2 linked regions of the Oryctolagus cuniculus genome follow. The protein of the gene in region 2 interacts with the protein of the main gene of each other region in a pairwise test. Links are inferred from orthologs where the notes say so. Each region holds a gene or a part of one and is shown on either strand. Other genes may lie near its edges. The genes, in order: MAPK14 and SUPT20H.

What was found.
Region 1: the proteins of SUPT20H (region 2) and MAPK14 interact in binary tests that used the Homo sapiens proteins (3 or more experiments, as listed by UniProt). The link is inferred for Oryctolagus cuniculus from reciprocal best matches to the Homo sapiens genes SUPT20H and MAPK14.

The regions. Positions count from the first base shown.
Region 1 is NC_091436.1:133,478,675-133,483,002, reverse strand, and holds the start of MAPK14 (mitogen-activated protein kinase 14), read left to right. Parts: upstream 1-1,230; 5' UTR 1,231-1,593; coding exon 1,594-1,709; intron 1,710-2,301; exon of another isoform or gene 2,302-2,436; intron 2,437-4,328. UniProt on the Homo sapiens protein: Serine/threonine kinase which acts as an essential component of the MAP kinase signal transduction pathway.
Region 2 is NC_091440.1:77,037,886-77,041,695, forward strand, and holds part of SUPT20H (transcription factor SPT20 homolog), read left to right. Parts: intron 1-204; coding exon 205-271; intron 272-3,068; coding exon 3,069-3,198; intron 3,199-3,810. UniProt on the Homo sapiens protein: Required for MAP kinase p38 (MAPK11, MAPK12, MAPK13 and/or MAPK14) activation during gastrulation.

The sequences.
Region 1 (4,328 bases), on a different chromosome or scaffold from region 2:
CAGCCCGGCCCGCGACCCGCGACTCTCTGCCTGCAGCCCCGCCTCCCGGGCGGCCCTGGCAGCAGCTCACCTGTTTCCCCGCCCGAGGCGGGAGTGCGGCGGGCGGCTCGGGTCTCCCAGGGCTCTGGCCTGGCTGGCAGCGCTGCCGACCCGGACGCCGGCGGTTCCCGAGCCGTTGCGGCCGAACCCGCGGGCGTTCGGGGCGGGCGGGCAACGAGAGCGGGGGCGAGGAAGGAGAACACGGCCGTGGGAGCCCTCGGCCCCTGTCCTGGGGTGGCCCTCAAAGGATCGGAGGACAAGATAGACTCCCATCCTTGCGCTCAGGGTAGCAGGCGTTAGCACGGGCCGGGCCAGCACCAGTAGGTATGGGCCTGGGGTTACAACACTTGCCCACTCGCGGGTATTTTCTTGTCCCTATGAGGTGGGAACGGAGGACCGGAGTTCTCTTGCAACTGAGCAGGGCCTACCGGCTTGCCTAAAAGCGACATTGCCACAAGCGCACTCCCTGCTCCTCCGCCTTCCTGGGAGAGCCCCCACTTAAAATCTCCAAGTCCTCTTCTCAGGACTGCTCTTGGGGCCGAAGTCGGTTTATAAGCTTCGGGGCCACGGCTTTTAAGACACATCAGAGCCACCTGTACGGCCCCGACCCCCGCAGAGGCCCCTGAGGGTCCCGGGGCGACCTTTGCACCCGTTCGGGTGCAAAGTCTCGGCTTCCAGCGGGGCTAATATTTGTCTTTGGGGCCGATTTCGTCAGCGTCCCGGAGGGTTAGCCATCTGTCCATGAGCACACGGGAATGCGACGGCCTTCTGACTGGAACCAGTTTTTGACGCCGGTATTTCTTGGAAACGGCGGAGTTCCACCGAGCAGGTGCTCGGCCGCAGTTCCAAGATCTGTTGGCTCTTTTCCCGACACGCTTACTCGTCCCCGTCGCTCTCCGCAGTGGTCAGGCACTACAGCCCCACCAACCACAGTGGGGCGCGCGCGGCCTGTGGTGCGCGAGCATCCCCGCCTTAGCCGTCCGCCTCGGCGCCCCGAAGAACAGTCCCCGGGAGTTCCTGCCTCTGGGCTCCAGCTGTTGCTCTCTTCTCGCGAGAACTGCTCCTCCGGCGCTCTCTCCTCCCGAACCCCCTCCCGCGGGGAGGTTCCATATTGGGTAAAATCTCGGCTCGCGGAGAGTCCCGGGAGCTGATCTCGCGAGAGGACGGCAGGCGGCTCCTGTTCGCTGGCTCTGGAACTGCGACCACTGGAGCCTCAGCTGGCGCTGCAACTGGAGCGGGAGTCCAGCGGCACGGCCCGCCGTCGGCCCGGCCCGGGAGAGGGTGCAGGGAGACCCCGGCGGGCGCAGCCCTCAGCCTCGGAGCGCGCTCCTGCCCTTTGCCGGGCTCGCCTCGGTCCCTGAGGCGCGTCCAGCAGCTGCAGCTGACAGGGGCCGCACGCGCGGGTGTCTGCGGGGGTCTCAGCAGCCGCACCTGCGCGGCGGCCAGCGCGAGGTCCCCGCCCGCCTGGGCGGGCGACGAGGGCCGGGGAGCGGGCGTGGGTGCAGGCGGGGGCACCTCAGGGCCACCTCCTCGCCCCGCGGCCGTCGCTGGAAAATGTCTCAGGAGAGGCCCACGTTCTATCGGCAGGAGCTGAACAAGACAATCTGGGAGGTGCCCGAGCGTTACCAGAATCTGTCCCCGGTGGGCTCTGGCGCCTATGGCTCCGTGTGGTGAGTGTTGCTAGGCCCGGGGCCGCGGTGGGTAGGGTGGCCCCTGGTGCCCGAGGGCCAGGCCTGCCCCCGCGGCTCCGCTATGCGCCCAGCGGCAGGAATTTCCCCCGAGGGAGAGCATGGCTGTCCCTGCACCCCCTGCATCCCGCAGCCTGCACGCCCAGGGCGGTGGTCCATTGCGTGCAGGCGCAGGTCCGCTGTGGGCGGTAGGTGGTGGTGCTGGCTGGAGCTCGCTCCTGGCGCACGCCCTGCGCTTTCGTTTCGCTGAGCGCTGCTCCCCCCCGGGGGGCAGGCCCTGGGGGAGGGGCGGCTGTTCTGCGGGGAGCTGGGGAGGGGGGTCCCTACGAACACTTTGCAGAAGGACCCTCTCCCGGGGGTGCACCCGTCCCGGGGGCGCGGACGACCCGGGGAGCTGCGGGAGAAAGCAGAACCCGGTTGGGAGATCGGGTGGTCTGAACAAAACTGACGACGAAGGTAGCCCCCTCCAGGCTTTTCTTTCTTTCCTTCTTTTTTGCAAACCTCTGTGGAAATCCCGTCTGGAGAAGCGTTCTTTTTGAATTCGCAGCGACCCATAGGGCTTAAAATATCGGCTTTATCTCGGCGAGCCCTGTGCCAGCTTGAGTGGTGTGTTTCCGATTCGGTCGAGAGCGTGTTTCCTTTCCGTGGAGGGCGGCGGTGGTGGCTGCCGCTTGAGAAACTGGCGGCCTGGCTGATTAGTCACATACCACTGCTCATTTAAAGTATTGTTTGACGAAGCAGGGTTCTCACGGGGAGCAGGGGAGCCTCGGATCCCTCCGCCGCGTGCCCTCGAAACCCAAAAGTCGCTCACGGTGCAGGGAGCTACTGTGAATATTTGAAAGTTGAGATAATTCCTGTGAATCGTGTATTTTTAAGGCCCCTTGGAGAGTGTGCAGAGACCTTATCTGTGGCTATGGCCTGAGATACACTTGGTTTTCGTTAGGATCGGGAACTTCCAGGAGAAGAAAGTTAGACACCGGCCAGCTGTCCTTTACAAGGTGCCTGTATTTAAGTTGACACCAGGACATTTCCAGACCTGAAGTATTTCACTGACTTCTCTAACTTCCAAGGCCTTAGACACTGTATTTTATACTTAGTATCTTTTGAGAGCTCCTGATCTGAAACTAAGTGTCCGGCTTCATAGTAAGCTTTTTCCTGTTTTATCAATTCCTGGGCATGCATGGGTGGAAAAGGAGCTAGGAAAATGCTTTTTTTGTTTTGTTTTGTTCGGAACAAATTCCAGGCTTTTGGATTTGTTCATCTTTAAATATGATTCCCGTGTTTCTTAAAATCACATCATGAATTTCCTGTTTGGTAGAATCTTCTGGGTAATTGAGATTGTGCAATTGTGTCCAGCAACAGATCGTATTGCATTTTCTAGTTCAAGCCGCTTGAGTAATGCTGCAGGTGTCACCGTGGCTGACATCTTTCTCCCACTTTTACGCTGTGGCAGTTAACCTTTTCAAGGAATTTGAAGCTTTTTTAGTTAGTATATATACTAGTTATTGATTTGCTAATTTTCAGAGGTGTATTTAGATAATTGCTCCTTTAAAATTTAAGGACTCTGTGGCCAGCGCTGTGGTGCTGTTATCCCACATGTGCGCAGACTTGAGTCCTGGTGGCTCCACTTCTGATCCAGCTCTCTACTGTGGCCTGGGAAAGCAATGGAAGATGGCCCAAGTCCTTGGGCCCCTGCACCCAGGTGGGAGATCCAGAGGAGACTCCTGGCTCCTGGCTTCAAATCAGCCCAGCTCTGGCCTTTACAGCAGATGAAAGACCTTTCTCTATGTCTCTCTTCTCTCTGTCTGTAACTCTATCACTCAAATAAAATCTTTGAAAAAAAAATTTATGGGCTCATTAATATACCTCCATTTTTCATTCTTTTTAAGGTTTTATTTATTTATTTGAGAGGTAGAGTTACAGGCAGTTGAAAGGGAGAGATGGAGAGATAGGTCTTCAATCCGCCAGTTCACTCCCCAAATGGTCACAACCGCTGGAGGTGGGCCAATCTGAAGCCAGGAGCCAGGAGCTTCTTCTAGATCTCCCACATGAGTACAGGTGCTTAAAAATTGAGCCATTTTCTACTGCTTTCCCAGGCCTCAACAGAGAACTGGATCGGAAGAGGAGCAGCCGAGAATCAAACTGCCGGGACTCAAACTGGCACCCATATGGAGATTTAACCTACTGCACCACAGTGCCACCCCCTCCATTTTCCATTTTTTTTAAAAAAAATTATGTATTTGAAAGGCAGAGTTAGAGGGAGAGAGAGAGAGAGAAAGCTTCTCCCTGGTTCACTCCTCAAATGGCTGTAACAACCAGGGCTGGGTTAGGCTGAAGTCAGGCACCTGGAACTTCATCCTGGTCTCCCATGTGGGTGAAGGGGCCCAAGCACTTGGGCCATCTTCTGCTGCTTTCCCAGATACGTTAGCTGGGAGATGTATAGAAGTGGAGCAGCCAGGACTCCAACTGGAGTGCATATGGGATACCAGCTTTGCAGGCAGCAGGTTTAACTTGCTGTGCCACAACGCCTGCCCCTGTTTTTTCATTCTTGAGTTGACACATGAATTTTCATAGTATTCATCAAGTTTTTGTTTCCGGTGA
Region 2 (3,810 bases):
CACTGAGCTAGAAATTGTATAGGTTCTTTGTATTTATTAGGAATTTCTAAGTTGATGTTAGAAACCTGTAAACCTACCCACTCCCAATTTTGGGGGAGTTGTAGGAAATACAGAAAAGCTTAAAATAGGGAAAAATTACAATAACATGTTTCATAATTATTATATTAATGTTATTTTGTGTATTTGTTTCATCCTTTTTTTTAGAAAATCTGTATTTCAAAAACTCTATGATTTATATATTGAAGAATGTGAAAAAGAGCCTGAGGTTAAGGTAAGTATAAATTTTCTATGGTATTAAAGCTTTGAAATGTTGAGGAGGGAAATTTGGAAGAGTTCCATTTGAAGTAGTTAATGATTTATGTTTGGAGAGGAAACTAACATCTTTTGCAACAAGACTATAGTCAGTCCTGCAGCTGACTCAGAACATCGGTTATTCTGGCCCTAGGCAGAGGTCAGCTGCTTAGCTAGGATGAGGGAACAGTCTTTACTAAGTAACACTATCTCACTGGGAGCTCATAAGTAAGGCGACTTTATGCCTTTCTCTTGTTTCTTCTCCATCTGAAGTGAACTGTAAACTTAGGAAGAAAGTAACCTACTTTATAGTGATTTGCACTGGAAAGTCAAAGCTATTACAGGAGGTATAGGAAATTCTAGTGTGATGAGAAAAGGTAGATTTGGTCACAAAATGAGTTCATGGTTAGTTATGTTTAACTTTTAATTCATTCCTATTTAACATAAATGTATGAACAGTAGAAATGTAATAGAAATTGATTTCTTGATAGCTTTTGAACTCTTTTTGGAAGGGCCTTAAAGGACTCGATGAATTTTTGTTGTCTTTAATTTTAAAATGTATACCATTTTACCATTTGGGCAGAAAACAGTGGAATTTCAATAGTGTGTCCACTTTAAAGTCTTTGAATTAGGAAAAGATGCTAAATTTACAAATAAGTTTTATGATATATATTCTGTAAGTTTTACTCAGATACACTTGACATAAAATAAATTGGACAAGTTTAAAGTGTGTACTTTTTAAGTTTTGACATGAATAAAGTGTATGCTTGTGAAGTCATCACCACACTCAACATAATGTACATTCTGTCACCTCAGAGACACAACTAAGATAGGAAAGATACGTTGCTCCCCCTCTTCCTGGAGGAACGACACAGGACCCTGCGCTGTTTTGTCTGCTCGGCCCTTCCCGGGTTTGCTGCTGGTTCTTCCCGGTTGGCTGCCGTCCCTCCACCTCCGTGGAGGGGCGGGCCCCCCTGCCACTTTCCCCACTTCTGCGGGGGAGTGGCACACCACCGGCCGGCTCTCTAGGGGGCTGCTCAGATGTTATCCGCATGTTCCCCTTAGATGTTCCTGGTGCATGTTGTCTCTCTCCTCCTTTATAGTCCTCTTCCACCAATCCCAACTCTGCTACCCACACGCCGAGTACGCTGCTCTCCTCCAATCAGGAGCAGGATCAGCTCCTGCAGGTTACTGGTCGAACTGGAGGCAGCTGGGTAAAAGTTGTTTACTCCTCTCCCAGCGCCATATTGTGAGAGAGCAGATGCATAGAATAAGTCTTAATTCCAGTAACTTAGTCTAGTCCGAGTTGCTCCCCACAAGATACATTTGTAATGATTCTAAAGTGAGGTTGACAAGCCCCTGTCTACCAATCAAACCTGGCCAACTGCATGTTTTTGTAAATGAATTTTTATTGGAACCTGCCACACAGGTTTGTCTAGGCATTTGAGGTACAAAGGTAGAGTTTGTGCAGTTGCAACACAGGCCACATGACCCACAAACCTAGACACTATCTGAAACTTTAAGAAATTTCCCAGACTCTGGTTTAAGTGAGATCATCTTAGTGGTAGCCAACATGTTTTCCTGAAGAGGTATACGTAACTGTCATAATTTTTCTAATTCTGTCATAAATTATGATGGTTTTGTCTATATTGAAAAAAGTGTTTAATTTCTCTTTGGTTTTGTTTTTTCTTCACATTAAAGTAGTTAAATGTTGTTTACCATTTTTGCCCTTTTCAAGTTGCATAGTGTTTGATTTTATGGTGATAGTCAAGAATTTATAATTCCTCTGTAATTCTTCTTTGCATATGGCTGTGTACATATGTGTGTGCGTATAAAATACTCAAAAACAGATGAAGTTTTTGGGGAGATTTTGCAAAAGTAATATTCTCTTGAACCAGGTGTCTTTTTTAAATAAGATTTGATTAAGTAAATTATTATATCTATTTCAGTGTGTTTTATTTTAAATGATGTACATTTCTAGCCATGGATTTTGATATATGTGTGATATGTTTCCTGATGGCTTTTTAAATGAAAACAAAGTAGCTTCTGAGGAGGTGTTGAATTGAATTCTTAGAAAATTGTCATAACTTCTTTCTCCCTCTTACCAATTAGATATTTTTTAGATTTAATGTTTTCTTGATTAGAGCTGTTGAACTTATTTGGATCTAATTTAGGTTATAAAATATTTAAGAAATGTGCATTTGTTACCATACAATCAAAATGAATGCTGCAAATTTATAAGAAATAGAAATTAATAATGCATCATCTGTGTTTTGTATATTTATATTTAATGGTTTTAATGTTTTATGTATTTATATTTTTCTTTTGTGGATCACCAGTTTTTCTTTCTGATGTGGATGAATGTATATAAAACTTAGTAGCTCAAAATTAAGTTTCCATGAGTGTCCCATCATGGTGGCTATTTTTGTATTATGTGAGAATGCAGAATGCCTCTTTTATAGATTTTTATTTTTTATTTTTGAGATTTTTAAATTTATATTATAGTCAAATGCTTACTGCTCCACTAAATATAGAGTCCAACAAATAAAAGGTAAAAAGCCCAGAGTTGAGCAGGAAAATAGGCAAGGGCTATAAACAGTAACCAAATGAAAAGATGTTGAACTTGATAGTGGCTATCTGCTTGCAAATAGTTCCCATATATTCAAGATCATAATGTGGAGGGAGCAGTAAAATATTCATGTAGGTTTTGTTCAATCATCATACTACTTTTTAAGATTCTACTGGATTATTTTCATGAGCTCTGCCTCTTTTTAAAGCAGAAAATAAGAAGAAATGTGAACTTGTTGGAAAAGCTCGTTATGCAAGAGACTTTGTCATGTTTAGTGGTCAATCTTTATCCAGGAAATGAGGGATATTCTCTGATGCTCAGGGGAAAAAATGGATCAGGTAAGACCCTCCAGAGCACAGCTGCCACAAAGGTTCTGCCCGTGGAGGAGGATGTGCTTTTTTTTAAATAGTTTCTTAACTTGCTAAATGGTTTATCCTTTAGATTAGGGATGACTTAGTAATAAATGTAGATTTAGATCTTAAATTTATCTCCTTGTATTTTTGGTAAGAAGATTAGAAAGTCTCTCAGCTGTGTATAGTTATCCTTCCAGAATATGCACTTGACAGTCAGGTTATAAAAGACATAATTTTTAAATGATTGCCAAAGTTTCGTTTTGTTCTGTTGCTGTTTGTGCTTTAAGATAGCCTAAGCTATTTGAAGGTATGCTCTTTCTTCTGCATTTTAAATATACTGAGTCTGAAACCTTCAAATGTAATCAGACTCACTGCCCTTTGAATAATTCTATTGTAAATATGAAAATAGTTTTAAAATGTAAATACTCTTAGATTTCACTAAAAAGCCATTTAATTTTCATATGTTGATAGTAATATGAGTCCTACAATGAGATGAGTTTACCTAGTTAAGAGTTTTTCTTGCATTGATTAATTGTGAAACATAACGCCAAGACAATTTTCAAATTATCAGTGATTTCCAGTTTAGATTGATCACTG